7 linked regions of the Oryctolagus cuniculus genome follow. The protein of the gene in region 3 purifies or fractionates together with the protein of the main gene of each other region. This does not show direct contact. Links are inferred from orthologs where the notes say so. Each region holds a gene or a part of one and is shown on either strand. Other genes may lie near its edges.

Region 1 (4,242 bases), on a different chromosome or scaffold from region 3:
ACAGCGAGAGGGAGAGACAGAGAAAGGTCTTCCTTCCGTTATTTCACTCCCTAAATGGTCGCAATGGCTGGAGTTGTGCCGATCTGCAGCCAGGAGCCAGGTGCCTCTTCCAGGTCTACCATGTGGATACAGGGGCCCAAGGACTTGGGCCATCTTCCACTGCTTTCCCAGGCCATAGCAGAGAGCTGGACTGGAAGAGGAGCAGCAGGGACTAGAACCGGCGCCCATATGGGATGCTCATGTCAGATGGCACCTTTTCCCTTTATTCCATAACACTGACCCAAAATTTTTTCTTTAAATGTATGAAGGTGAAGTTTTGGTTGTCATTTTTTATTTTATTTTTAAACATTTATTTATTTGAACAGTGAAGTTAGAAAGAGAGAGGGATCTTTCATCCATTGGTCACTCCCCAAATGGCCGCAACAGCCAGAGTATACTCGGGCCAATCCGAAACCAGCAGCCAGGAGCTTCTTCCAAGTCTCGCATGTGGGCCCAGGGGCCCAAGTACTTGGGCCATCTTCTGCTGTTTCCCAGGCCCATTAGCAGGAAGGTGTATTGGAAGTGGAGCAGCCGGGACTTGACTTGATGCCCATGTGGGATGTTCTATAAGAGGAGGCTTAACTTTCTATGCCATAGTGCCAACCCAACGGCCGTTTTCCGGTGCCTTCCCAGGTGTATTAGCAGAGAGTTGGAATGGAAGTGGAGCAGCTGGAACTCGAACAAGTGCCCATATAGAATGCTGGCATTGCAGGTGGCAACTTTACTGGGTACACACAATGCTGATGTAGTGTTTTGTTTTTTTTAAATATTTATTTATTTATCTGAAGGGCAGAGAGACTTGAAAGAGGGAAAGACAGAGAGAGAGAAGAAAGAGAATCTTTCATTTGCTAGTTCGCTCCCCAACTGCCTGCAACACCCAACTGCCAAAGCTAGTAGCCAGGAACTCCATCTTGGTCTCCTACACAGCTGGCAGGGGCCAAAGGACTTGGACCATCTTTCTCTGCCTTCCCAGATGCATTAGCAGGAAGCTGGGTCAGAAACGGAGAAGACAGGACTCAAACTGGCACTCTGATACAGGAGACTATTGTCACAAGCAGTGGCTTGCCCTGCTGTGATACAAAACTGGCCCACTGGTTTAAGTTTTGTTAAAGAAAATGGTACTGTATTTGGTGCTTTTGACTCAGGGACACTCAATTCTGTCTGTCCTGTAATACAGGACAAACTACAAAGAATTCACATTACTTTTCTGTTTTGGTAATCTTGCTTTGCTATTTTTGTGCTTATTTTATTGGGATAAGGTTTTGGAAGATTTTTCAAGGGAACTGAAAAGACGAAGCAAGGGCAGGTATGTGGCCTCGTGGCTGAGATGCTGTGTGGCACACTCACATCTCCTGTCTGCATTCCAGCCCCACTCCTCTTCTGATCCAGCTTCCTGCTAATGTGTACTCTGGAGGAAAGCAGGTCATTACAAGTACCTGGGTCCCTGTCACTCCCGTGGGAGACCCAGACTGAGTTCCAGACTCCTGGCTTCAGCCTGGCCAAGCTCTGGCTGCTGTCTTTGAGGAGTGAACCAGTGAAAAGGAGCACTCTGTCTCTGACTTTCAAATAAATAAAATAAATGGATAAAAGACTAAGTCACTTTCTTTTCTTTTTCAGAAATAATGACTTGAACAAAAATAACTTACAATTCTCCAAAGGTAAAATGATATAACAAGCGCTACTAATAAAACTTGTTAAAATTCTTATCTGCAGGATACTCTAGATGCTCTAACTGGAGCTGGCATTTTTGTCTACTTTTATGGAAAACTGTATACTCAAATCATTACAGTAGGTACAATTTTCCGTGTTATTTTGCAAGCAAACTAGTTAAAGCCATCTTGAGGGGCCAGCACTGTGGTGCAACAGGTTAAGCTGCTGCCTGTGACACCAACATTCCATATCAGCACTGGTTCAAGCCCTGGCTGCTCCACTTCTGATCCATCTGAACATCAGCTCCCTGTTAATGCTCCTGGGAAAATAGCAGAAGATGGCCCATGCAGTTGGGGCCCTGCCACCCACATGGGAGACACAGATGAATCTCTTGGCTCCTGGCTTCTGCCTGGCCCAGCCTTGACTGTTGAGGCCGTATGGGGAGAACCAACAGATGGAAGATCTCTAACTTTGCCTTTCAAATAAATAAATCCCTTGGGGCCAGCGCTGTGGTGCAGTAGGTTAATTCTCCACCTGCCCCAGCATCCCGTATGGGCGCCAGTTTTAGTCCCAGCTGTTCCTCTTCCAGTCCAACTCTCTGCTATGGCCTGGGAAAGCAGCAGAAGATGGCCCAAGTCCTTGGGCCCCTAAACCCTCGTGGGAGACACAAAAGAAGCTCCCGGCTCCTGGCTTTCGATCAGCACAGCTCCGGCCATTGCAGCTATTTGGGGAGTGAACCAGTGGAAGGAAGACCATTCTCTGTCTCTCCCTCTGTAACTCTACCTCTCAAATAAATAAATAAAATTTTAATAAATAAATCCCAAAAAAACAAAACACATCTCAAAGCAGACATCTGGTGTCAAACAAGCTAGCTCCATGCCATTTTCTGATATCTAGGTGAAAGCAGGCACCTATTAAGTCCCAATATCTTATGAGATAATAATGTAAAAATGAAAAGAGAAAAAAGGTGGAGATGGGAAGGAGGGACAATAGGGTTGGAAGTATCATCATGCTGTTAAATCTGCATATATGAAATACATGAAATTTGTTCCCCTTACTTTTTTTTTTTTTTTTTTTTTTGGAAAGGCAGATGGACAGTGAGAGACAGACAGACAGAAAGGTCTTCCTTTTTGCCGTTGGTTCACCCTCCAATGGCCGCCTCGGCTGGCGCGCTGCGGCCAGCGCACCGCGCTGATCCGAAGGCAGGAGCCAGGTGTTTCTCCTGGTCTCCCATGGGGTGCAGGGCCCAAGCACTTGGGCCATCCTCCACTGCACTCCCTGGCCACAGCAGAGAGCTGGCCTGGAAGAGGGGCAACCGGGACAGAATCTGGTGTCCCGACCGGGACTAGAACCCGGTGTGCTGGCGCCGCTAGGTGGAGGATTAGCCTATTGAGCAGAGGCGCCGGCCCCTACTGAGTCTTAAAATAGAAAAAATTGACCCTCTTCCTCTTACTTTGAAATCCATTCTTCTTTTCTTTTTTCTTTTTTTTTTTTTAATTTTTTTGACAGGCAGAGTTAGACAGTGAGAGAGAGAGAGACAGAGAGAAAAGTCTTCCTTTTTCCGTTGGTTCAACCCCCCAAGTGGCCACCACGGCCAGTGCATTGCGGCTGGCGCGCTGCACTGATCTGAAGCCAGGAGCCAGGTACTTCTCCTGGTCTCCCATGGGGTGCAGGGCCCAAGCACTTGGGCCATCCTCCACTGCACTCCCTGGCCACAGCAGAGAGCTGGCCTGGAAGAGGGGTAACCGGGACAGAACCAGCGCCCTGACCGGGACTAGAACCCGGTGTGCCGGCGCCGCAGCCTTTTTTTTTTTTTTTTTAGATGCAACTCACCTTCCTTCACTATCTTTACAGTAGGGACAGGTGCATGCTTCCCGGCGTGTCCTGCGACCAGCCTGGGGTTGCGGATCTGGGCTGTTCTCTCCTTCCTCTCCACCTGCTGTATCATCATGTATTCCATCACCACCAGCACCATGGAGGCCAAGCTGAGCTCCATGATCACCTGAAATTAAAAAGAACAAAGTGGGAAAGTGTGAACATCACCACAGCACCAAACACTCCAGGGACACCATACATTTATACAGTATCAAGTCTTCAAAGTTTTAAAGCCACATCCACTGACTGTACTCAAACCTGAAATTTTAAGAATGCACACAGCCAAAAAGTATATGAAAATGTGATCAGTCACTCATAATTTACTTGAAAGAAAGAGAGAGGGTGAGACAGACAAAGAGGCAAAGATCTTCTAACCGCTGGTTCACTCCCCAAATGGCCGCAATGGCCAGGGCTGGGCCAGGCAAAAGCCAGGAGCCAGGAGCTTCTTCCAGGTCTCCCATGTGAGTGCAGGACCCAAACACTTGGGCCATCCTCTGCTACTTTCTCAGGCACATTACTAGGGAGCTAGATTGCAAGTGGAGCAGCCAGAACTCAAACTGGCACCCATATGGGATGCAGGTGTTACATGCTACAGCCTAACTGACTGTGCCACAATCCTGGTCCCCAATCACTCATAAATCTTAAAAAGGATTTTTACTTAAAATTAATTTTTTGGGG
Region 2 (4,981 bases), on a different chromosome or scaffold from region 3:
GCTGGACTCTGGAGGAGTCGGTCTTACGGACAACTAAGGCTTTACAACAAGGGAAGACCTGCATGGTGGTAACTGGGAGCACTAACCCCCACACACATTCCTGGGCCCTAATCAAGGCCGGAAACAAACCCCATGTGGCAGCAGCTTTCCCAGCAGGCGGCACAGGGAGGCCGTTCTGAGCCGGAGATGACAGGCACATGGTACGCCTGCATGGAACGCTGTTTTGAAGGAATTCAGGCTGTTTCCAGTTCTGAACTAAGCCGTCTAGAAGCAGCCCAGGCCGGTACAGGGAGGCCAGAGAAGAATCTGACCCTGGCTGTCCTGTGACCAGGACGAGTTTAAGACGGTTACATTTCTGAGGCCTCCCCAGTCATAGGTTTGCGGGAATCCCAGTTTCCAAGCTGGCTGTGAGAAGCCTACCACCCAGGCCCGCAGTCTCCTTCCTCCGGGGTCCTTCCATCCTCGTGGAACCGACAGCACTCAGAACTGTCCTCCATGTCTGCCTGGAGCGACCTGGATATGGCCAGCCTCCATGACCCTTTCTGCATGCTGCAGCCAGGCTCCCAAAAAGGGTTTGCAATCTGGGGCGGGCGCTGTAGTGCAGCAGGTTAAAGCCCTGGCTTGAAGCGCCGGCATCCCATATGGGTGCCTGTTCTAGTCCCAGCTGCTCCTCTTCCAGTCCAGCTCTCTGCTGTGGCCAGGGAAAGCAGTAGAAGATGGCCCAAGTCCTTGGGCTCCTGCACCCCTGTGGGAGACCCGGAAGAAGCTCCTGGCTCCTGGCTTTGGATCGGCACAGTTCCAGCCGTTGCAGCCAATTGGGGAGTGAACCAGCGGATGGAAGACCTCTCTCTCTCTGTCTACCTCTCTCTGTAACTCTGTCTTTTAAATAAATAAAAATAAATCTTGAAAAAAAAAGGGGGGGTTTGCAATCTGCCATCCCTTTAGTGCAGAAAGCCACTTTTGCATTAAATCCCCTTCCAGGACTGCAGTGGTGGGGAGCTCACTGTAGCTATTTGGTAACTGAGGGCTCCTACAAATTGGGATCCACAAACATAAAAAATAAATTAAGCTTTTCTAGTACTAACTGCACAGCAACCCTCTCAGAGCAGCACCATGTGGCCCTCTGGGACTGAGGAAAGTGGGCATCCCACAAGGCTGGGGTGGCCCGGGGCCTGTGGAGATCTGTGCAGGTCACCTGTGCCCCTCTCAGGCAGAATTAGGGAATGCATTACTCAATTTATGAATGCGACGCTCACCCAACAAACATGGGCTTCGAGTCCTGAGGAGAGCTTCAGTGCATGTACTTCCTGCACATGTGACAGAACTGACACTGGCCCCGTGAGAAGCTCAGCCAGACACCTGAGGGGTAAAGTCGATGAGACTCTACCCAGATCTAAAAAGAAGTCAACCCAAACAACTCCAAGCTGTAAAAGTCATCGAAATACAAAATTTTCACTCATTAACAATGTGATAGTTCTCACTGTCATGCAAATCTGTGTGTTTTGTGCTGTACAGTGCTTAGCAACAGTGGGAAGACATAATTATCAAATACTTTAAGTATTATAAATTTTTCAATAATAAATACTTGAGGGGCCATCGCTGTGGCATAGCAGGTAAAGCTACTGCCTACAGCGCCAGCATCCCATATGGCCACCAGTTCCAGGCCCGGCTGCTCCTCTTCCAATCCAACTCTCTGCTACGGCCTGGAAAAGCAGGTAGAAGATGGCCCAAGTCCTTGGGCCCCTGCACCTGCATGGGAGATCTGGAAGAAGCCCCCAGCTCCTGGCTTCAGATCGGCCCAGCTCTGGCCATTGCAGCCATTTGGGGAGTGAACCAGCAGATGGAAGACCCGTCTCTCTCTCTCTCTCTCTCTCTCTCTCTCTCTACCTCTCCCTGTAACTCTGCCTTCCAAATAAATAAATAAATCTTTAGAAATACAAATGTAAATAAGTAAATATTTGATTATTTTCATCCTTAAAAATTTTCTCTGTATGTTTTAGAATATGGAACACACCGGTACATGGTGTGCTGGTAGACAATATCCTAACCTCAGCATAGCTCCAGAACTGAATATATACTTCTTTAGGAGGCACGGTCAACACGGCCCAGGGATCAAAGTCTAGATGGGTCCGCTGAGCTTGGCCACTGCCCCTTCTCACTCCCTCCGGAAGGCCAGGCCAAGGGGAGGCCCCAGCCGTGCGAGCAGGGAGGAGCCGAGGCTGCGGGAGCCCTACCTGATTGTGCCAGCGGATGACGTTTCCGAAGCCCCCAGTTCCCAGGCGTTCTTTCATTTCCCAGGCCCCGCAGGTCTGGGTTGGCAGCGAAGGCGACCAGCTCATGCTGACGTCCTGTTAAGTCTGTAAGGAATTTGGGGTGGAGTCGGGGCACAAAAGGTTAAAGTGCGAAACCGAGCAGCTGAACTGATTTTCATTTGTGTCCAGAAACCGGGTCGTAAGGTCGGTCGCGCTGTCTGGGGTCTTCCCCACCCCCCAAGTCACCCCAGGGAGACGATGCTCCACCCCCAGGGCCACTCCCCGGACGGCGGCCACGCGCGCCAAGCGGTCACGCGTGTCCGCAGCCAGCCCGGCCGCCCGTGCGCCTGGGCTCGGCGACCCCCACCCGCAGCGGCACGGCGCGTGCGCGCCGCGAACCGCTACTGCCCGCCCACGCCGGGGTTCCTCGGGGCCTCCGTGGGGAGACAGGCGGGGAGCCCCCGAGCGAGCACCCACGCGGACCTGGGGTCTGTGGGGGGCCGGGGCCTGCGCCGCCCGCGGGACTCACCTGTCGGCGGGGACGCGGGGCGGGGGCCAGGCTCCCGGGGCTGGGGACGCGGGGGCCGGGGGACCACACGGGGGGCTCTGACACCCCCCCACCGAAGACATGAAAATGCGGGAACCTTAAACCAGCCAGCCCAGCGCCACTTCCTCAAACACTTCCTGACCTGACGTCACGGACCACGTGGCCGCGCTTAAAGGGGCCGCGCCCTGCCGCGGTCGCGCGAGCCGGGCCTGCTCCTGAGGCCTGTAGCGCGGGAACCCCAGCTGTGGGGCGGGGGGCGGTTGTTTGGAAGGCCCGGACGACTCTGGAGGGTGCTGGGCCGAGTGTGCTCTCCGGGGGGGGCGAGCGCAGCCCTGAAACGGAAGCCCCCCCCGCGGCGCTCCCGGGCTTTCACCGGGGAGTCACCGGGAAACTTCCCGCGCCCGCCGCCAGCACGACTGTTTACCGGGAGCGCCGTCCCGGGCCTGGCGCGGGGTCCTCAGAAGTGACGCAGCGCGCACAGGAAAGGAAGGGAAATGCTTTTGGCCCCAGCGTGCGCCTAAACCCGAGGTTCAGCGTCCTGACTGGGGAAATGGGGGAGAGGCCCTCAGCCCGCGCTCCTCTCTCATCTGCTTCTCACTGTTGTGAGGAGACGGTGTGCATGTATTTTACTCAAGCAGGAAAAACGTATTAAAGGAGACCTGAGGGGGCCTGGCACAGCGGGTTTGAGACCCGGCTGCTCCACTTCCCATCCAGCTCTGCTGTGGCCTGGGGAAGCAGTGGAAGATGGCCCGAGTCCTTGGGCCCCTGCACCTGCGTAGGAGACCAGGAAGAAGCTCCTGGCTCTTGGCTCCAGATCGGCGCAGCTTCGGCTGTTGCAGACGTCTGGGCAGTGAACCAGCAGATGGAAGACCTCTCTCTGTCCCCTCCACACCCCACCCCCGTCTCTGCCTCTCCCCTCTCTCTGTAACTCTGACTTTCAAATAAATAAATAAATAAATAAAGGACACCTGAGGAGGATAATATTCACAACTCCAGGCACGGCCCTAAACTCTGTTCTTAAACATTTTTTTACTCAACGCTTTGGCAGCCTTACCAATTGCACAATACCACATTATTGCCATCCCATTTTGCAGGTGGGAAAACAAGCTCAGCGTAGAAAAAGTCTTCCATGCCGCAGCCACAGAGCCACTGATACACGAACCCAAGCAGCTGGTTCCCAGGTCTCACTGATGATACTAGGCTGTGTGCTAAGAAGCCAAGAAGGCAGACTGCATTTGGAGTCCAGACAGTTAACTGCCCACCTCTGATGTGTAAACATACATCTCTTCTCAAAATGGAGGTTAAATCGCATGAAATCATCCTTTTCTAGGAATCGGGAACAGTGGAAATGCGAGCCACCAAGAGCAGCAGTTTCCATCTGGTTTGGCCTCACAGTGGGAGGACAGGAAGGCACACAGGTCAGACAGGAGATGCCCAAGGAGCAACACAGGGGTCCTGGTCAGAGGTGCCTCCCATCCAGAGATCGACGCCAAGTCTTAGGAACAGGTGTGCTCAGGGCTGAGGCAGGCACGGTCAGGATGAAAAAGAACCATGGGTAAACAGTGGTCAAAAACGTGGAACTGTGCCTGGCGTGACCTAGATGTAATGTGTTTCTTTAATAAACACAATTTTGAAGAAAAACGTTTATTGAGCACCTATGTGTGCTGGGCACTCATAGAGTCTGTTTCCTGGGTGATGTTGGGGAAACAGTTCTCTGAAATTCCTGTCCCGGAGAAATTTACGAGGCATCCACTGATAGTACTGTGCCACTGCTGTTTATGATTTCTTGGTTGAAATATGTGACATTTGTTCACCTTCTATAAATAAATTTCAAAGAAGAAAAAAAGAGTTCTTATTTTGCTCAGCTAAAATACTTGATTTTTCAACTGAACATAAATCTGTCTGATAAGGCCTCATGTCACTACGTTGTGGTGTGTTTTGGATCTGGGAAGTGAACCAGCAGATAAATCAATGATGGCCAGGAAAGGGTCTCTGGATTTTATCATGTTCCAAGATGTTTATCATCTTCAGCCCCATTTTTCAGCCAGATAACAGCTGTCCCAGATCCTGCTGTCGTGATGTGAGCAGACTGTTGACAGAAGATATTTGAAATGCACCAAGGAAACACTTCTATTTCTTCCTGCTTTGAGGTTGAGCTCGCTTTAAGCTCTGTCTGTGTGGT
Region 3 (4,817 bases):
AGCCTTCAGTGACTACCATCTGTCACTGGTGGCAACGGTTCACTGAACGCTCGGATGCGCCGGCCCGTCCAGCCCGTCCCGCGGCGTCCGGTGCCTACCTCGACGCTCCCCAGATGGACGGCAAGCGCCGCGCAGGCAGCCCCCGCCGGTGAGGGCCTCAACATCAGCGCTTCCTCCTCTCAGCCACTGCTGCTCCCAGGCACCTCCAGGCAGGGACGCGCCCTGGGCCGGCTCCCCTGGCCTCAGTACCTCACAAGCTGCTCCCGGTGCTCAGGCTGCCGAGGCGGCCTTCTCCTCTCTCTCCAAACCCTCAGGTCCCCCTGGAGAACACAGCGCCCATCCCTCAATTTGTTTAAAAATGATATGTTTATTTCAAAATCAGAGTTACAGAGACAGAGAACTTTCATGTACTGGTTCACTCCCCAAATGGCCACAAAGCCAGGGCTGGGCCAGACCAAAGCCACGAGCCAGGAACTCCATCCAGGGCTGTGACGTGGGTGGCAGGCGCCCAAGCACCCGGCCATCTTCCTCTGCTCTTCCAGGCACAACAGCAAGGAGCAGGATGGGAAGCGGAGCAGCTGAGACTTGACCTGGTGCTCAGGTTCGCGGCACACCGGCCATTCCACTCCCTCGGTTCTTACGTTTGCAGGGCCAATGCTTGCACCACCCGGCCCAAATCTCACCAAAATAGGGCTGAAAATCTCAAAAATGTTACTTTCTCAGGTCTCTCTCCCATCATTTCAATGTACTGAATGTAAATACCCTAGTCACCTATCTACTTAAGAGACACCAAGATCCATGTCCATCTCGGCACCCGATGCCAGACTAGGAGTTACTGTCAAGTGTGCCTTGTTTAGCCGTCTGAGTCCTTGGTCCCCATACCAACACACCCGTCCAGACCAGTGACTGTGACAAACGTGTAACTCACGACCCAGCTGGAGTAGTTATTTCATTATTCGTATTCTTTAAAACAGACTTTGTTCCACACTTGGAAAAGCTCAGCAGCCCTGTGCTTCACGAGGGCCCAAACTGGACACGGAGAGGCAGTGGGTACCTGGGGGAACCCCTTCCCGTAACAGCTTTGTCCGACTGGCAGCACATCCCCCGGCCTATCCGGCAACAGAAGCCACCCCAAAAGGCCACGCCCCTTCTGTGCACAGCAGCACAAGTCTCTCTCAGTCCCCCCCCCCCCCCCCCCGTGCAGAAGTCCAACAAGAGCAGCGCTAAAACGCACGCCAGCGGCCACTGGAGAGGCTTCCGAGCTGACCGGGCGGGCAGGCTGCAGGGCCGGGCCCAGAGGAGGGTGTGCACCGCGCGGCTTCACACCTCTCACCCCGTGCGTCCCCTTCCTAAAACCAGAGCCCAGCTCAGCCGCCAGCCGTTCAAGAGAAAAGCACCCTGCCTGACTTTCGGGAGCCCCCATACTACTCCCCGGACCAGGCAACACCCTGTAAGTTAACCAGGCACTCTCCTGAGGCCGACCGTCTTAGACCCCTTCCCTAACTTACAAGCCACTGTCATAACCGGATTCCACACTGAAGCCACAAAACTCAGTTTCCAGAACACGCACAGGCTCCTCAGTACACTAGTGGCCAGTCACAGGAAGACTTCCACCCGCCGGGGGCCTGCGAGCAGCAGGTGTAATTCCATTCGCCCATTCGTCGGAAACTGGTTTTCAGATGCTGCCACACTGGACCGACCGCGCCGAGAACCGGCGCTCCCAAGCCCGGCTGCAGGAGGGCGCTCCGGGAGGACGCCCCGCGAGCCGCGCGACCTCTCGGGCTCCTGCAGATCCCCGGGTTCCCAGGGAAGCTGCTTCATAGCGGGTGGGTGGGTGACTTAGTCAGCATCCTGCTGGTACGTCTTCCGAAACATCGGGATTCCTACACGGCTTAACCCAACTTCTCCGCGCACCCACCCCGGAGAGCAGCAAAGCTCCCGCGGAGGCTGCCGCAGCCCAGACGACTCGCAGGATCCGCCAACTTTCTTTGAAAGTTGAGCGTGTAAGTGAAAACACGCCACGGCAGCTCGGATGACAGACGCGTTCCTAACGAAGGCCGGGTTTTTGAAAAATGGAATGACAAGGCGGCCCCCACCCACCAGAGAGAGAGAGAGAGAGAGAGGGAAAAAAAAGATCAAGAGTTTTCAAAATAACTGCTTCGCGTTTTTCCGAGGCACACATTCCACGAAACTTCTTCGTGCTAACTCCCGAGAGGGCGGCTGGCCCCGGGGGAAACCGCGGCAAGGGGCCGCGACCCCCGCCCACGCGCCGGCCGCGGGGGGCGTCCGCCCGCACCGCCCCGCGCCCCCTATCCCGAGCGCCGCTCGGCTGCGTCGCGGGCCGGCACAGCAGCCAACTCCGCCGAGCCCGGCGCGCCCGGGCCAGCGCGGCGCCCTCGGGCCCGGTGACAGGCGGGCTGCCCGCGAACTTCCCGGCTCCGTCCGCCGCCCTCGGGTGGACGCCGCCCCGCCGAGCCCACACCCCCGGCCCGCTCCTCACCTGTGCTGTCATTCGCCGAGAAGCCGGGCGAGCTGAGTTTGGCTCGTTTGGGGTTGGGCGGTCCGTCCAGCAAGTTCTCGGCCATTTTCACCTGCTCGCGAAGGCGGGCGGCAGGGCCGGGGGCCCGGCCGGCCGCGGGCCAGCAGCGAGCGCCGAGCGAGCGCGGGCCGGCGGGCGGGCGGGCGCCGAGGGGAGGAGAGCGAGGCCGGGTGGGGGAGGCGGCGGCCAAATCTCAGCCACAGCAACAGCGCCCCGCAGCGCTCACCGCCCGCCCCCGGCCGCCGCCGCCGCCGCCGCCGGCCGCGGCCCCCTCATCCCCTGCCCGCCTCCCGAGCGCGACACTCCGCGGCGGGGGCGCCCAGGCGGCCCGGCCGCCCCCCCGGGCCCGGCTGGCAGCGACGGCGCCCGGCCGGGCGGCTCAGGCAGTCCCCGGGAACATGGTGCCGCGCCGCCGCCTCGCTCCCCCCCCGCGCCCCACTTAATGAATTCGCTCGCGGCCCGACGACGAGGGGGCTCCGGGCTCGGCTCGCCGCCCGCGGCCCGCCGCCGCCGCCGCCGCCGCCGCCGGGAGGAAAAACAATGCGCCGAGCGGGGTCGCCGCCGCCGCCGCGGCCCCCCCACCCCCGTGCCGCCGCCGCCGCCGCCGCCGCCGCCGCCGCTGCCGCCGCCGCCGCCGCCGGGCTCCGGGAGGCCGAGCCGAGAGGCGAGCGGGGCCGCCGGGGCGGGCGCCGAGGGCCGGGCGGAGCGGGCCGGCCGGGCGGAGCGGGGTGCGCGGGCGGTTGTGGGGCCCGGGACCGGCGGGGCCGAGTAGATCGCGCTCGAAGCCCCGGTCGGGTCCGCGACAAGATGGCGGCTGTTGATTCCTCAATTAAAAAAAAAAGAAAGTTTTTTTTCTTCTCTTTCCAGAGCCTGAACGGGGAGGGGGAGGGGGCGGGGCACGCCGGTGCGTCACCCCCCCGCAGCGTCACCACGCACGGCCCCCGCCCCGCCCCCTCCACCTGCGCCGGCCGCGGCGGAAAGAGCCGAGCGCGCTCGGGCGGAAGGGCCGAAGGCGCGGCGGCCGTGCGTGGGGCGAGCGAGCGAGCGAGCGAGCGAGCGACCGGCCGCCGGCGGGGGCCGGGCCTGTGGGGCGCGAGGGCGCCGGGCCCAGCCGCCACTTTTTGTTCTGACTGCGCCGGGCCGCGGGGGCACGGGTTCCGGGAGCGTGCGCCGTGAGGTCGCGGGCCCGCCCGTCCCGCCCGTCCCGCCGGGAAGCCGCCGCGCCTCAGCGGCTCTTCGCGTCCCCTGCCCGTCGGGCGAGGGGGGGCCGGGGACGACTTTTCTCTCGCCGCCTGCCGGAGGTGTGGACTGGGCCCTGCGGGTTGCAGACCACGCTCCGGCCCGCTGCCCGTCGGGCGGCGGCAGAGAGGGGAAACTGAGGCAGGAAGGGCCCGAGCAACTTCTCCAAGGTCACCGAGGCGGGAAGCAGCAGACGGGACTCCCAGGGCCCCGCTCCCCAACTCCGAGGCGACGGAGCCCCAGGGCCGACGCCTCCCCTCGGGGCTCTGGGGCGCGCCCCCTGCAGGTGCCCCGGACGGACGGACGGCGAGCTCCCCTCAGGGGCTCCGGCCGCTCTGACCGCGCCGCGCCGGCCCGCCCTCTCGCCTCCCTGGGGACGCGGACCCGCGGCTCCGGTGCTGTCCGCCTCGTCCGCCGGCTGCCCTGGCCAAGTTCCCGCTAAGCATCCTCGCTTCTCCTCACGGAACGCTGGTGGACGTCCCGGAAGAAGCAAAGATCCTGTTTGAAACAGCTACCTACCTCCTGTCCGTGGAAAACTTGGCAAATTCCGCTACAAAGAACATAGTGGAAACACGCAGGGCGTAAGATGGCGGTGGCAAGCCCGGCAGGACTTCCCTCGGGCCTGCTCGCCACCCGCCGGGCCACCAGATGTTTGCCAGCATCAGGCCTGCTCTGCCCTGGACTGGGAACACTCAGGCCTGGCTAAACTTTTAATTGGTCCTCCAAGTTCAGATGTCACCTCCTCCAGGCAGCCCCTAGATCTGTTTATCTATCAGGTATCTGTCAGGTATCCCTGCACTTTCGGGGAGTTAACTCCTGTAGAGGACTGTCCAGGAAGTCAGTCTGCACAGAACAGGCAGGAAGCGTGTGGGGCCCAGAGCTCCTTGTGGGCCAAGCCTTCTCTTAGTGACAGCACAGTGGCCAACAAGTAGCCATGTAAAATTTGGTGAATGAATGGGTGAGGGATAAACACTCTCGGATCCCCTGGGTCCTGGAGGCCTCCAGACTGGACAGGGTGTCCAGCCCCCAGGGGACCTTC
Region 4 (3,063 bases), on a different chromosome or scaffold from region 3:
CTTCTAGGTGCTGCTCGCTGATGAGGAGGTCGCCCCCGCTGCCGCTGCAGGGCCCCTGAAAGAGGAGAAGGACCTGCCTGGGGAAGGGCTGTCTCCCCTGCTCCCGGTTCAGTCCATCAAGGAGGAGGAAATCCGGCCAGGGGAGGAGGCACCTCACTTGGCGAGGCCCATCAAAGTGGAGAGCCCGCCCTTGGAGGAGTGGCCCTCCTCGTCCCCGTCTTTCAAAGAGGAGTCATCTCACTCCTGGGAGGATTCGTCCCACTCTCCCACCCCGAGGCCCAAGAAGGCCTACAGCGAGCTCCAGTCCCCGGGCCGGAGTGTCTCGGAAATGCTCGTGATCAAACGAAGGCAGCGGAGGGAGATGAGCCGGTCTCGAAGGAAACAGCACCTGCTGCCCCCCTGCGTGGACGAGCCCGAGCTGCTCTTCTCCGAGGGCCCCAGCACTTGGCGGCGAGCAGAGCTCCCCTTCCTGGCGGAGTCCTCAGAGCCCGCCTCCCAGGAGGAGGCAGGGCCTTTCAAGACCCCCATTAAGGAGACACTGCCCATCTCGTCCACTCCAAGCAAATCTGTCCTCCCCAGAACCCCCGAGTCCTGGAGGCTCACACCCCCAGCCAGGGTTGGGGAGCTGGAGTTCAGCCCTGTACGAACCCCCCAGGGTGCCTTTGGCCCCCTGCCCGACTCCCTGGGGCTGATGGAGCTGAGCACTACCCCGCTGAAAAGCGTTCCTCTCTTTGACTCACCCCGGGAGCTCCTCAATTCAGAACCCTTTGACCTGGCTGCTGACCCCTTTGGCCACTCTCCCCGCTCAGAAATGGAAGCCCCCAAACCAGGCTCCCCAGAGCTGCAGGTTCCCAGCCTTTCAGCCAATCGGTCTCTAACGGAAGGCCTGGTCCTGGACACAATGAATGAGAGCCTCAGCAAGATCCTGCTGGACATCAGCTTCCCTGGCCTGGAGGAGGACCCACTGGGCCCTGACAACATCAACTGGTCTCAGTTCATTCCTGAGCTGCGGTAGAAACCCGACCGTGCCCTGGCCCCTCAAGCTGCCCACCACTGGAGGCACCGCTGTGATAGGGAGACCCAAGGCTTAGTGCACGCCAAGCCCTCTGAGCAAGGACAGCAGGCGGGGATTGATCTCGGCTCCACCTGGCCTGATTCGGCCACGGCGGCAGTCACACCTTAGCCACTGCTGCTGAGACCTCTGCCAGCAGTCGTGCCTTGGGAGCTGCCCTCCGAGCCACTCGTGCCCCCCAAGCCACTCGTGTCCCCCAGGAGCACCTGACTCCCGTCCTCTCCCTGCCAGGAGCAGAAGGGTGGGAAGGACAAAAACCAGGGGGGTGAGAAGAGGGTGAGAACACCACAGCCACGCCCATCCTGTGCCCAGCAGTCTCGCCTTCTCTGCTCCTCACAGGGTGGCTGCTGTGAATAGTGTCAGTTCTCCAAATCGTCCTCTAATTATAGACGTGGGCTTATTTCCTTAGACCGCTGTGTAGAGACTGCCAGGAGAAGGGCGTAGGAAGACGAGGGTTTTCAGTTTGCTTCTGTTCCATGCTTTTGGTTGCTAGAGAAGGGAGGATGTGCGGTGCATGGTTTCTTCCAGGCCCAGGGTACCTGACTCCAGGCTTCATCACCATAGGTGCCCAGACAAGCAGACCTGCCTGCCGGGGGCCCTCTTCCTGCCCCTCCCTCCCACCTCCCCGTGTTTCCAAGTCAGCTTTCCTGCAAGAAGCAATCCTGGTTGAAAAGGTCTTTTGCGATGGTTTTGGAGTTGAATTTTGGGTGGGGGAATGGAGGCATCTGAGGCAAAGGGTGTGGGTACCCAGATAAGCCCCCATGAGATGTTTCTCTGATAATGTCCCTAATCATGCCAGGGAGATGAGCATTGACCAGAACTTGGGCAGAGGGCGTAAGAAGGCTGAGAGAGCCCCTAACGTGCCTGGCTTCCTTAGCTCGCACCTCAGCTTCGCAAAGAGCCACCCTGGGCCCCAGCTGACTGCATGGATGTGAGCCAGCTCAAGAACACTACTGTACCTACCTACTCAATAAAACCCAGGCTGCAAGTGCTGGTCTGTGTGGTCTGTTGGTGCCTGGCCCTTTTGGGGTGCAAAGGGCTGGGAAAGAAGGGGGGTGCTGGCAGGAAAGAAGGGAGGTCATGTGAATCCCTCCCTGCACAGGCACACGTCCTTTCTCACACCGACATTGCTGATTAAAACTTGGGCCTTTGGGGGCTCCTTAGAGAAATCCCGAGAGGAACAGGCCCCCAGAGCCTGAGGGAAGGATAGGCCCAGTTCCAGGTGCCACTGCCAACTGAGGCCTGGAAGGCAGCCTGCCCTGCCTCCCTCCTCCCCACATCTTCCTAGGCAAGTCTGTCCAGAGGCAGCTCTTGTTACCGTCCTCTGCGGTCTGAGTGTATGAGGGGCCAGCGCCGTGGTTCAATAGGTTAATCCTCCGCCTTGCGGCGCCGGCATACCAGGTTCTAGTCCCGGTCGGGGCGCCAGATTCTGTCCTGGTTGCCCGCTCTTCCAGGCCAGCTCTCTGCTGTGGCCCGGGAGTGCAGTGGAGGATGGCCCAAGTGCTTGGGCCCTGCACCCCATGGGAGACCAGGAGAAGCTCCTGGCTCCTGGTTCCTGGCTCCTGGCTTCGGAACAGCACGCCAGCCATGGCGGCCATTGGAGGGTGAACCAACGGCAAAAAGGAAGACCTTTCTCTCGTCTCTCTCTCACTGTCCACTCTGCCTGTAAAAAAAAAAAAAAAAAAAAAAAAAAAAAAAAAAAAGTGTAGGAGGGAAACGTGTCCCCTGCCTGCCTCACCAGAGAGGCAAGTCAGAGGCCTCCTCCCTCCCTCACCACCCAGCAAGCATTACCATAGCAACCCCAGCAGCAAACAATGACACCAGAAAGGCCTCTCCACAAAGCTACCATCCTGGCTGGCAGGCCCACAAGAAAAATGGCCTGCAACCCACAAAGACCACTCAAGAGGCCAAGCTATCCGTCTCGAGTGAGAGAACCTTTCCTGCGGGTAGGCGGTGGGACCATCTCAGCAGCCTACCTTATTAAGAAACTT
Region 5 (4,242 bases), on a different chromosome or scaffold from region 3:
AGACAGTATACTTGGTGCAGTAAGAGATCGCTAGTAACCAACAGTAACAGAATACACAACACAGTGTAGTGAAAGTTACGTGAATAAGGGCTCTCTCCAAATAGCTTGGTGTACATTGACCTGCTCATTGAAGGTGGCGCTTACGGTTTTCCTTGGCGTCTCTGAATTGGCAGCACCCAATCCCAAGCTTTGGGGTCGTTACTAAGTAAAACCAGGGTTGCCTGAACACAGGCACCACATTTGAGTGGCACCTGTCACACTAAGATGCCTACCGAGGGACTCACGAACAGGCAGCACCCGGGGCACGGATGCGGCCAGGAGACAATGACACAGGTCCCAGACAGGCTGGCGAGAGTCCGGCACACGACTCAGAATGCTGCAGAATCTCAAACTTACACACCGTTTCAGTAATTTTCCATTTTAGATTTTTGGGCCACAGTTCACCATAGGTACATGGGAGAACCACTGCCAAGGACGTTAAACGCTGCAGCCGTTCCAGTCGCTGAATGGGCGATCACGTGGGAGGCAACTCGGCATCGACTCCTGGAGCTGACACTACCCCTGACCCGGCAATCCCCACCACAGGGCACTTACACGTGTGCCTCTATGGAGAGGTCTTTTGTGTTCATGGAAAACGAAATGAAAAGATGATTTTTGAAATCCATGCATGCTTTTCTCGGGGCAGGCAGTTTCCATGAATTTTTTGAGTCTCCCAGAACTGAGATACTCTGGATGATTGCACCATTATTTATAATAGTAAAAAAATATTGGAAATGAAATAAATATTCAGTAACAGGGAAACAGCAGCACGACCTAGAGAATATCTAAACAGTGTAGAACCCTGCAACTCCGCCCCCAGCCCTCTGAAGGCTGCAGCACCTGTCTCTTACTGACAAAGAAGGGCTCCAGGGCGCCAGACCCTCACGGGCGCCAGCTCGAGTCCTGGCTGTTCCATTTCCAATCCAGCTCCCTGCTACTGCACCTGCGCAAGCACTAGAAAATAGCCCAAGTCCTTAGGCCCCTGCCACCCACGTGGGACACCCAGATTAAACTCCTGGTTTTCGCCTGGCCTGGCCTGGCCCTGACCATTGCAGGCATCTGAACCAGCAGATGGAAGAACTCCCTCCTTCAAATAATTACATAAATATTTAAAAAAATAAAAAAGAGCTCCAAAATATATTATCAAATGTGGACAAACTAAGATGTTAAAAGGAGTGTATGGTGTGTTACTATTTGTGTACAGAAACTGGGTGACAATCATACTTGCTGGTGTATGCATAAGAGATACCAAAAATGGCTACAAAACCCTAATTAATGTTAGTTTTTATTAGAGTTGGGTGGCTAGAGGACATGGAACAAAGGCCAACTTCATGGAGTCCTCCATAAAACTGACTGCCTTTCACCATGACTGCATCAACCGTCCAGACACTGAGCAATGAAGGAGTGGGAGGCACACGGGTGGGTGCTCCTGGTGTCTCCGTCTTCGCTGTACTGAGAAGGGGGAAGGATGGAGAATCAGGGGAGTCCCTGGCAGGAGCGATGCTAAGTCAAGACCTAGAGCAGAAGACTGAGCAGCACAGAGCACCCAGGCCGAGACCTGGCCCAGGCAGCAGAGGAAGAGCCGTGACACGCGGCACACAAGCAGCAGTGTGAGTGCAGTGGGAAGGAGGAGGAGCAGCCTGCATGGGCCCAGGGCGTGGACTCCTGGGCACCTTGGCAAGAGGTCTGAGCTGCATTTTAGGTGCAAGGGGAAGGCGAAGAGTGGTTCAACGCAGAGAGAACAGTGAGCTCAGTCTGCTCGGTCAGCCTCACTCGGCTGCAGGGGTGAGAGTGGTGGTACAGGCCAACGGAACTGGGTGTACGACGACTCAGCAGAATGCTAGAGAGGGTATGAGAGGCAGAAAAGCCAAACACTCAGGGCCTACCACCCACGTGAGTCTGAGACCCAGATGGAGTGCTAACATAAGATGGCCCAAGTACCTGGCTTTGGCCTGGCTCTGCTCCGGCCACTGCAGGCATTTGGGGAGTGAACCAGCGAGTGGAACAGCTCTTGTCATGTCTCATTGTCTCTCTGCCTTTCAAGTAAAATGAAGATACATAAATCTTTAAAAACTCAGAAATAAAGGCACTGGGGCTCAGGGAAGAAATCTCGGCCAGAAGCAGATTAGGAATCACAGACGTGGTGGTGACTGCAGTCATCAGAAGGGGCGGGTCACAGGCTGGACCTCCAGAAACGCCAGGTGTCCAGGGGAACAGGAGAGGAGATGCTACAAGCCGGGTCAGTGAAGCAGAGGGCGGAGAAGTGGGGGTAGTGGACATTCTGCCATGGAAACCAGAGGTGGCCCTCAGAGGACAGGGAGAAGTCAACAGCATCCAACATGGCCAGGAAGCAAAACATTAGATGGCATTAGGCGTCCACTGGACTCAAGGGTGGCAGTGGGGCAGGAGGCAGGACACTAATGTGGCAGACCTTAGCCGGTGAGGAGACGGAGACGACAGTGGCCGAAGGCAGAGTCAGAGAGACAGGCAGTCAGACAGAGGTTCTGCTCAAGATGGCAGAGACCGGGTTTCATCAAATGTTGATCAACAGGAAATAAGAGGGAGAGGCCAAGAACAGGGTAGAGAGGGTGACCAAGAGCACAGTCCCAAGAAAGCCCGGGCGACAGGGGAGCAGGAGGCCCGCCCCAGCGCTGGGGAGGGTGAGGGAGAAATGTGGTCGAGTGCACACACGGAGGCAGAGCTCCCTCTCCAGGCAAGGGGAGCAAGGACTGCTAAGAGGCAGGAAGAGAGATGGTGACTGGAGGCGTCCTGGGAGCCTCCCGGCTGTGCCAGCACTTTCAGCCCGAGTCTGGGGAGTGGGCAGTGACCGGAACTACAGGCTGGCCTCCCATGTCACAGAGCAAGGCTCAGGGGGAACTAACTTACTACTTTACAGGAGTATTTAAATATTTTCACCATCACCATCTGCCTCCTCACCCCAATTTTAAACATTACTTCTTTAAAAGGTTTAAAAAGCATAGACAAAAACATGGGCTAAAATCTTATCACACAGACTCAGAATCCAGGAGTATGACGAGTACCAGGCCCTGGAAGGCAGAGGGGTAGTAGTTAAGATGGGGATCAGGGAAAGTCACCTAACCCAGGCAGTCTCAGACGTCGCTGAGACAGTAAATAGGTGAACACAGGAAGAAAGCATGCGGGACAACAGGTGCACACCCAACAGCACCAGCCAGCCCTTCACAGGAGAGGCGCTGCAAGAGCCAGATTCCACAAGACAAACAGGGGCACATGAGGGAGTCATTCTAGAGCCTCTGCGTCCAACGCGGGCGACGTGAGAGCTTACCTGGGGACTGTGTGTCTCGCAGTCCATGGCCTGGACGGCGGCCGTGAAGTGGCCCCCGCTGTGCCGGTGCTGATGTGTTGGATCCGACCTGGCTCGCCCACTGTTGCTCGTCCCCGATGATCCACCTTCAACACCACGACACAAAGCAACTTGTGACTTTAAAACTCAAAGCACACTTGAGCAGTGCATATAGTATACATGTATCAAATTATCACACTACACAAATAGGTACAGTGACTGCCAATCAAAAATTTTTTATAATTAAAAAATTTAAATATTAACTTTAAAGTATATCGTAAAGTCATCAGTTTCTCTAAGTTCTCCCAAATCAACCACTGAGCCAGGGCCAGCATTGTGGCACAGCATGTTAAGTAGTTAGCTGCAACACTAGCATCATACAGGAGAGCCACTTCCAGTCCCAGCTGCTACATTTCCAATCCAATTCCCTGCTAACGCACCTGGGAAAGCAGCATAAGATGGCCCAGGTACCTGGACCCCGGCCACGCATGAGGGAGACCCGGATGGAGTTCCAGGCTCCTAGTTTTGATCTGGCCCAGTCCAGCTGTTGTGGCCATTAAAGGAGTGAACCAGCAGATGGATCACTCTGTAATTCTTTCAAATAAATAAAATAAATCTCTGAAAAAAATCCAGTGAATCAAAATACAATCAAGTTTGGTTTCAATTACAGGAAAATTAAAGGATGTGAATAAAACAATTTCATTAGAAAAAGAATTCAGGAATGAGCATTCGATACGGTGGTTAAGCCATCCCGTGGGGTACCTGCATCCCGTATCAGAGTGTCAGAGTGCAAACCCCGCTCTGTTCTCCACACCAGCCTCCTGCTAACAGGAACATACAAGGTGGGAACAGCTTCTGGTTCAAGTGGTTGTGTCCCTGTT
Region 6 (4,242 bases), on a different chromosome or scaffold from region 3:
GATCCTGAATGTAACACTGCTCTCAAAGACAAGAGTCAGCAGGTGCCACACTCTGGTCCTGCTGAGAGTGCCTGGCCCTGGGGGCTCAGCACCCCCTTCTCATTCCTCTAGGCAGGACCTAAAGGGTAGAGAGAAGGCTGACAGTGATCTCCCCTGGCAAACAGTTAAGAGGTCCCTTGCTCTAAGTCCCACAGGGTGGGGCAGTACAGTGTAGGCCAGGGTTAGGGGACACTGCAGTGGGTCCCAGTTCTGCCCCTGGAATGTGAAGTCTAGCATGAGCTGGCCTTCAATCAATCCTAGGGTCCCCAGGCTGTGATTGCCAGCTCCCTTCAAGCGTGGGCAGTTTCCTGGCTGCCCAGACACAGCACACAGAACAGGCTGGGCCCTGTGCTTGGTTGACTGCGAGGACCCAGGCCAGCCCTCCTGAGGCGAGAGGAGGCACTGGGAGCACCTTGCAGGCCCACGGGCAGGTCCCTGTCCTGCCTGGCTGTGATGCAGGGCACGTGCACTCGCCCTGGGCCCCAAGAGGGTGGCCTGGCCTTTTAGGCCAAGGATTTGAAACCTGCAAACTCAGCACTGGAGACCGCAGAGGGACAGGAGTCTGTGCTGCTTCCAGCCCCCGCAGCTGGAATTCATTAAATGGTCACTGAGATAAAGGATGGGCCTGACTGTAAGTCCCAACCTGCCACCACCAGGGACTCCCAAGGGAGCCTGCTGTGGAGCCACTCTGCGAAGAGCAGATGGACAGGAGCTTGGCAAGGAATTTAGGCCAATGGCTCGGGTCGCCCGGGGGCCACAGCAGAAAGTAGCTGAGTGCTGGTGGACGCCAGGACCACCTGTCCCGAGTGCTGACTCAGCTGCCAAATATAGGCCAGGCCATCCCCAGTCACGAGTGTCAGGAAGGGAGGCAGCTCACCCTGTCCCTGCCTCCAGTGTCAGGCTGGATGCACAGTGGCCATGTGACCAGAACACTCCAGCTCAGGGGCCTGTGGGTCAGGGGAGGCCTTCCGATCCCAGGGAGCTTGGGATCAAGAGGCCGCGGGGCCTTTGCCTCCTGAGTCCTGACTGTGGCGGGGCAGCTGCTGCAGACCCAGGAGAAGGTCGCCTCTCACAGCATCTAGCACCAGGCAGAGGAGGTGCTTGCTGGGCACTGACGTCACTCCCAGGGCCCGCGTGACGTCGCCGCCTCCAGGACCTCAGAGCCAGCCCAGACTCTGACCAGCTGCACCCATAGGTGGGCTTCCTCAGCTCGTTGGGCTGGCCCCTGGTGAAGCAGAACCACTCGCCCGCACAGCTGCAGGAGGGGTCAGTGCAGGTGACGGATGTGACGGATGTGCCCAGGCACTGCGCCCCGAGGGGCTCAGCTGCTTTCCAGGCCCGGGGCCTAGCATGGGGTGGTGGGTGTGCCTCCGTTCCTGCTCCCTCACTCAGACTTACGGGAAGCCCTGAGACAGACATCTGGAAAACAGCTGAGATGAGCCCCTGTGTTGTCGGATGGTGCCCCTGAGGAGTCAACTGAGCAGACTCAACTCCAAGATCCCGTTCTGACGTTCGTCCCCCACCCCAGGCACTCCCAACAAGAAAGGCGCTCTGAGCCAGGGGTCCATGCCACAGGCCCCTCCCTGCTCCTGCAGCCCTGGAGGAGGACAAAAACCACTCTCATTCCCCACTCACTGAGCTCCCTGGGATCGGAAGGCCTCCCCTGACCCACAGGCCCCTGAGCTGGAGTGTTCTGGTCACATGGCCACTGTGCATCCAGCCTGACACTGGAGGCAGGGACAGGGTGAGCTGCCTCCCTTCCTGACACTCGTGACTGGGGATGGCCTGGCCTGTATTTGGCAGCTCAGAGTTAGCACTTGGGACAGGGGCTGCAAGGGGTGGGAACTTCAAGGCCACACTGACTGGGCACCGAGTCTGCACCCTCAGCACTTCCCATCCCTGACCTCTGTGGCTGTGCCGGGGGAGCCCTGCCAAGACTAGAGTCCGCCTACACTGTGAATCGAGGCAAAGTCCCAAGGTGTCAGCGCTTCTGGAGAAGTCTTTCCCCAAAACGGTTTTGCAGGAGAGGGAGAGAGAAGCTTGTGCCCGATCCTACCTGAAGGCGTAGGTCTTCTGATGCCAGCTCAGCTGTCCCCGGATGCTGTATGCGATGGTGGTGACAAACTCCCCGCCTAGCCCCAGCTCCGAGCACAGCTTCAGGGCAAACTTCTCTGGCGAGTTCTCCTTCTCCGACATGTCCCACTCAAACTGGTCCACCAGGGAGATGTTTCCCACGTGGATGTTCAGCTATGGCAGGGACCAGAAGAGAAGTCAGAGCAGGCAGCACCGCCCCCAGCCCAGGGAGGTGGCTGGGAGGTGTGACAGACCACGCTGGAGCCCCAGACCCAGGGTGGAGCCTACCCACAACTCAAAGAGTTGAGAACTGGAGCTGATCCTTGCCCTTCCAACTTTCTATCTGCAAACGGCTGACCCCATAAACCTGCTGACTGCTGTGAGGGGCTCTAGGTAAGAGCTGGGCAGTCATGCTTGGGGAGGCCCTGAGGGTACCTGGGTCCACCTCATCTCCATCCCCATCCCCCATGCTGGCTGGGGCCTTCTTTCCTGCTGCTTGCCACCGTTGTGTGACTTTAACAGGCAGGGCTCAGTTCAAGTGTCCCTCACCAGAGACATCCATGAACCCCTATCTTGGTCCACTGTCTACGTCCCTCTCAAAATCATTTCACCAAGCATGCTCCCAGATGTACCCCCACCGTGTGCCAACCTGGCCAGGTGACAGGCCAGACCCAAGGGGGAGAGCAGCATGCAAGTAGACCCCTGTGGGCAGGTGACAGAGAGGCCCAGGCGCTGCATGTACACCTGGGGAATACCTGGGAAGTGGGTCCGTGGGAAGCTGGCACCCAGGAGCTCCCACCCACACCCATGTCCCTTGATTCCCCACTCCCTGGTCAGTTGTGCCTGTTCTGAAACTGGTCATCACTGGATCACGCAGGAGGGACCCCTTGGGACTGACTTCACTCCCTCAGCATCACATCTGTGAGCTCCTCCCCTGCTGTCCAGTGTTCTGCTGGGTGAGCAGGTCATGGAGTACCTGCCCACTCACTCTTGTCTCTAGCAAGACGAAGATCACGGTGGCAGGTGGGCAGCCTCATGGTGAACTAGCCACTGCTCTCATAGCCCAACCCTCCTGGGGACTTCTGCTGCCCTTCTGAGAAGTCAAAGCATCCAACTCCTGCCGGCATCCAGGAAGTCCTGTGCGGCTGAGCCTTTTGCATCAGTTTCCGCTTACCGGAATGTTCTTCCCTTCACCTGGGCATATGCAGCCTCTTTTCAGTCTCCTGGCTGTGGCTGGGGTGCCAAGTCCTGAGACTTCTGCTCCCCACCAGCCCTCTCCCCACTGTCCACCTGTTTTCTTCACAGATCTTAGTCCTTTGTCTACTTCTTTCCCATCTCAAACCGGGCATCCTGAGCATAGCCCCAGGGCCTTTGTTTCAGGCCACAATGAATGGCGCCCACAGCTCCAGGGCAGAAGAGGAGGCTGAGGGGCAGAGGAATGGTGTCTGTGCAGGGCACACAGCTGGGCACGGCGGCCTGCAGCAGACTCCCAAGGCCCTCCTGTCCCTGTGCACACTCACACTTGGGGATTAAGCTGGGTTTTTGGAACAGACTCAGAGATGCTACCCCGTCCCACCTGGAACCATATGCCAGGCCAACCACGTGGGTGCTGGGCCCAGGAAGAACATGCAGTAGCAGGCAGCCCCTAGGAACACTCCAGGCAGGACCCAACAGGCCCACGGTGTGTGGCCAATCCCCAGCAGCCATCCCTGCCCAGGCTTGCGGGCTCTGCTGCCTGTCCACTGCCATTTGGTCACTAGGGCATTCATTTATTCAAAAGCAAGACTGTGAACCTACCAAGGAGAGGCACAGACAGACAAACATTCAGAAACTAAGCAAGGCATGTCAACGGGCACAGGGCATTCAGACTTCACTGAGCCTGGGCAAGGAAGCCAGGGAGGGGCAGGAAGTTGGGCCCAGCCTCTGTGGTCAGGAGGCCTTAGGAAGAACTGAGTGAGCCCAGGAAGCAGTCCTGGAGCTGCCTGTGAGGGGCACAGAGTGAGAAGGCCTGAGGAGCCAAGTGTGGCTCCCAGCTAGGTCCAGGGTGAAGATAAGGGGAGGAGGTGAGGGCAGCAAGGGGCTGGGGCCCAGGCTGAGGAGGGTCCCAAGGCTAGGGCAGGACTTGGCCTC
Region 7 (4,242 bases), on a different chromosome or scaffold from region 3:
CAGGCTGCCCTGTGTTGACTTCCAGCTCATTTTCTTGTTCCAAAACCTTCCCTGGCTCTCAGAGCACTGGGAATAAAGCCCGAATCAGTTACTAGTGAGGTCCCTCCAACGTGGGCCGCACACCGGCCGCTGTCCCCCACACCCCGGACCCGTCCACCACACAGCCCTTGAGGGCTACGGGCCGGGGAAGGCCATGGATTCACGTGGTCTGGTCCAGGCGAGGCAAGCGCAGGTGGGACTGGAAATTCAATACATCTACAGCAGGCTGATGTCTGAGCTCAAAGTTTTGTATAGTTCCCAGATGATGCTACGAATACCCAGATGGCCCTTAGCACAAACTACGGTCCCCAGCCCTGGCTTGGAAGGCCCTCCTGCCACGCCCACCTTTCTGCCTGCCCCAAGCGCTCTGCCAAGCCTCAGATCCCCCCGTTGAGAAGGCGGCTGCACTGCCTCCACCCGCCACGGCACCTGATTCCTCCCATGGCACAGCACGGATGGGAGATCACCCACCGTCCACCCCTGCCAGGAGCAGGGCCCCTGCCATCTGTACCACAGCCCTTCCCACAGGACCCACCCACACCGGACTCCACACAGGTTGCCGAGTTCTTAGGGAGCCTGTGGAGGAAGCTGAGGGTGGACAGCACTCACCCTGGAGAGGTCCAGGTCCGCCTGCCTCCGGTGCCTCCAAAAGGTGACGGAGGAGCGCGAGTGTGGCCGGATCACCGGCTCCCCGTGGACCAGCAGCTTCACGAAGACGCTCAGGACGATGACCCCATTGACCAGCCACAGCAGCAGCGTCGGCATCACCCAGTCAAGCCAGCCTGTGGGACCTGGGCGTGGCGGGGTGGGGGTGCACTCAGCAAGGGCCCCACGGACCCCGGAGTGAATGCCAGAGCCTCTGCCCCACGGCGGCCCATGGTCTACACGGCACTCCTGTAGCCCTGTCACCGCCACACTGAGCTCCACACGCATCTCTGCTAGCCCCAGAGGATCAGGACGCTGGCTTTCCAACTCAGCCGAGACGCACCACCCCTCCCCCTGCAGACAGGCACACTCCCCCTCCCCCGCCCCCTCCCAGGAACTCCTGCATGGCAGGTTCCTCATTTTTCTGTCCTCTCCACCTGAACGTGCGTCTGCCTTTTACTTCTAAAACGGGACTTGGGCAGTCCCTGTAGGCAGCAAGCAGAGGGGGCCGCAACAGCACCTGGGATCTACCAGGGGAGCGAACGGTCTGCGCGCAGTCCTCCCGCCACGGCTGCCCAGCCAGCCTACCTGACTCCAAGGAGAGGACGCTGCGGCTGGAGCCGGAGGACGGGTGCTGGTCGGTGTCGTGGGCCCCGCCCCACTGCAGCAGCGAGGTCAGGGGGTTAAAGGAGAGGCCCAGGAAGGTGAGGACGCACAGCAGGATGCGGGAGCGGTCCACCATGCCCAGCGCCACAGGGGGGGAGTCCGGCTCATCTTTGACCTGCAAACAGGGCCGGGAGGTGGGCATGCGTCCTGTGGGGGTTCGCGGCAGTTTCCTCGTATACACGCCAGGAAACAGACCACCAGGGAAGACAGGAAACAGCCAGGAGCGAACCGGGAAGCCCAGTTCACACAGCGCTGCTCACACACGGTGTGCTCTCCCTCGGTGGGCCGAGAAGAGACCATGCTCCCGACAGCGGGAGCGGAAGCGATTTTCTTTGGGGTAGAGCTCAGTCCCAACAGGACACTGGATGGTTCTGCTCCTGCGCGATTCCAGGACAGGGAAGGAGAATCTAAAGGGCCAGATGGCCAGTGGACCGTGGCTGCCTGGGGCTGGGGGCCAACGTGTGGGAGCCACCTGCCAGGTGTGCCAGGGCTTCCAGAGGCAATTCAAATGTCTGCATCTTCATTGTGCTGATAGTTACGTGGCTGCGCATGTCTGGAAAACTCCCAGGACTGTAGATGGTGAGCCGGCACTGTGGCATAGTGGGTAGATTTGCCATCTCCCGCACCGGCATCCCATAGAGGCACTGGTTCAAGTCCCAGCTGTTCCACTTCCGATCTAGCTCTCTGCGAATGCACCTAGGAAGGTCCAAGTGCTTGGGTCCCTGTACCCACATGGGAGACCTGGAAGAAGCTCCTGGCTTTGGCCTGGCCCGGCCCCAGTCATTGAGGCTATTTGGAGAATGAAGCAGCAGATGGAAGATCTGTCTCTCTGTTTCTCTGCCTTTCAAATAAATAAATCAATCTTTAGAAAGAACAATAAAAAAAGATATATTTTGGGGCCGGCACTGTGGCAAAGTAGGCTAAGCCTCTGCCTGAGGCACTGGCATCCCATATGGGCACTGGTTCGTGTCTTGGCTGCTCCTCTTCTGATCCAGCTCTCTGCTATGGCCTGGGAAAGCTGCGGAAGACGGCCCAAGTGCTTGGGTCCCTGCACCCATGTAGGAGACTGGGAAGAAGCTCCTGGCTCCTGGCTTCAGATCAGCCCAGCTCCAGTTGTTGCAGCCATTTGGGGAGAGAACCAGCAGACTGAAGACCTCTCTCTCTGTCTCCTCCTCTCTCTCTGTAACTCTACCTCTCAAATAAATAAGGAAATATTTCTATTTAAAAAAGATATATTTTTATTGCATGAAGTCATACCTCAGTAAAGCGCATTAAAGGCCATACTTTCGCGTGGACCTGCCTAAAGGATTTTGCCTGTTCCACGACAGCTGAGCCCACCAGCCCCGGGAGTCCACGCGGAGGGAGGGAGGCTGGCGCAGATCTTCCCTGAGCCCCGAGTGTGCAGAGCACACGGCTCCAAAAATGCTAAAACCATCTGAAAATGCCTTCTGATGATTCAGAAACCTCAGCTAATGCATCTCATACGCCGCACGGCCTGTTGTTGCCAAACTGTCACATCTGTACAATACATGGACAACGGAGAATGCCTGCTACAATAAACACACACCAGAGGCAACTTTGCTTCTGCAGCCAAATTGTCAACGTCAAAATGCTGCGTGGAACCCAGGGGTCTCCACAGGCTTCCCCGAAGCTCATTAGGCTCAGAACTTCTCTTAACTAGTTCCATTAAGATACAATCGCCAGAGGCTGTCTTTGAGGATTAAAAGCTCTTGGTTGCGATGTGACCTGTTAGACTGCAAACTGGAATCATCTCCAGAAAGAGGCAGCCTTGGCCTAAACCAGTGGCTCTGCCTCTGGTGTAGTGGTCTTGCCAGGCCCACCACGGGCCCAGGGAAGCCACAAGGCACCTCCGGCAAATCCCAGTGCCCGTGAACAGCGCTCCGGGCTCCAGCTCTGGATCTGGCACGCGTTGCTTCCTGAAAGGGCCTTTCAGCGGGGACCAGTCAAACCTGAGGGAGTTCCCCTCTGCTCTCCAGGACCTGGCTATTTCACAGAACTCCAGCTCTTCTCCGGCCCACGCCCTCTGAACGCTTGGCCCGCCCACCGGGCCCAGGCTCCCCGCCTCCCCACTGTGGCCCTGGGGGAGGGGGACTTCCAGGGGTCAGACTTGTACCTTTGCATCATCCAGCAGGGGGCTTCCCGGCTCTGAGTCGATGGAGTAGGGGGAGAAACCCGCTTGGGACCCCGAGTCGGAGGCCGGGGGGGACATCAGGAGGACATTCTGGTTAAAGTCATCGATCTTCAGGTCCACGTCGCTGTCCACCAGACTGCCTAGGTCGATGCCCTTCAGGAGCTCTGCAAAGAAAAGGCCACTGAGAGGCGAACAAGGTGCCCAGGGGTCCACCTGCTTCCTTGGGTTCCTGCCTCCCACATCGGAGTGCCAGTGCTGAGTCCTGGCTGCTCCGCTCTCGATTCAGCTTCCTGCTGACACGTTCTGGGAGGCAGCAGATGATAGCTCAATTGCTTGGGTCCCTGCCCCCACTTGGGAGACCTGGATGGAATTCTGGGCTACTGGCTTTGGCCTGGCCCAGTCCTGGCTGTTGTAGCCATTTGCGGAGTAACCTGGTGGACAGAACATCTCTCTTTCTTCATTTTTGTCACTCTGTCTCTCAAATAAAGAAATAAATTGTTGAGCTGGCATGGCGGCACAGTGGGGTAAGCTGCCTCCTGCATCCCATATGGGCGCTGGTTCAACCCCTGGCTGTTCCGCTTCTGATCCAGCTCCCGGCCAATGCACCTGGAAAAGCAGCACAAGACGGCCCAAGTGCTCGGGCCCCTGCACCCTCGGGGGAGACCCAGATGGAGCTCCAGGCTCTTGGCTTTGGCCTGGCTAGACCCTGGCTGTTGCACCCATTTAGGGAGTGAACCAGC

The links.
Region 1: the proteins of CREBBP (region 3) and SP1 purify together in Homo sapiens (affinity purification with western blotting; 5 studies listed by BioGRID, with this or other methods). This does not show direct contact. The link is inferred for Oryctolagus cuniculus from reciprocal best matches to the Homo sapiens genes CREBBP and SP1.
Region 2: the proteins of CREBBP (region 3) and IKBKB purify together in Homo sapiens (affinity purification with western blotting; 3 studies listed by BioGRID and IntAct, with this or other methods). This does not show direct contact. The link is inferred for Oryctolagus cuniculus from reciprocal best matches to the Homo sapiens genes CREBBP and IKBKB.
Region 4: the proteins of CREBBP (region 3) and FOXM1 purify together in Homo sapiens (affinity purification with western blotting; 5 studies listed by BioGRID, with this or other methods). This does not show direct contact. The link is inferred for Oryctolagus cuniculus from reciprocal best matches to the Homo sapiens genes CREBBP and FOXM1.
Region 5: the proteins of CREBBP (region 3) and DYRK1A purify together in Homo sapiens (affinity purification with mass spectrometry; 4 studies listed by BioGRID and IntAct, with this or other methods). This does not show direct contact. The link is inferred for Oryctolagus cuniculus from reciprocal best matches to the Homo sapiens genes CREBBP and DYRK1A.
Region 6: the proteins of CREBBP (region 3) and SMARCB1 fractionate together in Homo sapiens (co-fractionation; 3 studies listed by BioGRID, with this or other methods). This does not show direct contact. The link is inferred for Oryctolagus cuniculus from reciprocal best matches to the Homo sapiens genes CREBBP and SMARCB1.
Region 7: the proteins of CREBBP (region 3) and SREBF2 purify together in Homo sapiens (affinity purification with western blotting; 3 studies listed by BioGRID and IntAct, with this or other methods). This does not show direct contact. The link is inferred for Oryctolagus cuniculus from reciprocal best matches to the Homo sapiens genes CREBBP and SREBF2.

The regions. Positions count from the first base shown.
Region 1 is NC_091442.1:56,398,626-56,402,867, reverse strand, and holds part of SP1 (transcription factor Sp1), read right to left. Parts: intron 3,692-4,242; coding exon 3,523-3,691; intron 1-3,522. UniProt on the Homo sapiens protein: Transcription factor that can activate or repress transcription in response to physiological and pathological stimuli.
Region 2 is NC_091433.1:92,470,117-92,475,097, reverse strand, and holds the start of IKBKB (inhibitor of nuclear factor kappa-B kinase subunit beta), read right to left. Parts: upstream 2,950-4,981; 5' UTR 2,782-2,949; intron 2,358-2,781; 5' UTR 2,340-2,357; coding exon 2,235-2,339; intron 1-2,234.
Region 3 is NC_091450.1:31,666,442-31,671,258, reverse strand, and holds the start of CREBBP (CREB-binding protein), read right to left. Parts: upstream 3,350-4,817; 5' UTR 2,586-3,349; coding exon 2,501-2,585; intron 1-2,500. UniProt on the Homo sapiens protein: Acetylates histones, giving a specific tag for transcriptional activation. Mediates acetylation of histone H3 at 'Lys-18' and 'Lys-27' (H3K18ac and H3K27ac, respectively).
Region 4 is NC_091440.1:106,461,430-106,464,492, forward strand, and holds the end of FOXM1 (forkhead box protein M1), read left to right. Parts: exon of another isoform or gene 1-7; coding exon 8-1,015; 3' UTR 1,016-2,063; downstream 2,064-3,063. Other genes in the region: TEX52 (testis-expressed protein 52), read left to right, coding at 2,887-3,018. UniProt on the Homo sapiens protein: Transcription factor regulating the expression of cell cycle genes essential for DNA replication and mitosis. Plays a role in the control of cell proliferation. Also plays a role in DNA break repair, participating in the DNA damage checkpoint response.
Region 5 is NC_091435.1:7,444,788-7,449,029, forward strand, and holds part of DYRK1A (dual specificity tyrosine-phosphorylation-regulated kinase 1A), read right to left. Parts: intron 3,469-4,242; coding exon 3,344-3,468; intron 1-3,343. UniProt on the Homo sapiens protein: Dual-specificity kinase which possesses both serine/threonine and tyrosine kinase activities. Exhibits a substrate preference for proline at position P+1 and arginine at position P-3.
Region 6 is NC_091452.1:30,759,723-30,763,964, reverse strand, and holds part of SMARCB1 (SWI/SNF-related matrix-associated actin-dependent regulator of chromatin subfamily B member 1), read right to left. Parts: intron 2,287-4,242; coding exon 2,096-2,286; intron 1-2,095.
Region 7 is NC_091442.1:117,803,933-117,808,174, reverse strand, and holds part of SREBF2 (sterol regulatory element-binding protein 2), read right to left. Parts: intron 3,667-4,242; coding exon 3,485-3,666; intron 1,466-3,484; coding exon 1,273-1,465; intron 831-1,272; coding exon 649-830; intron 1-648.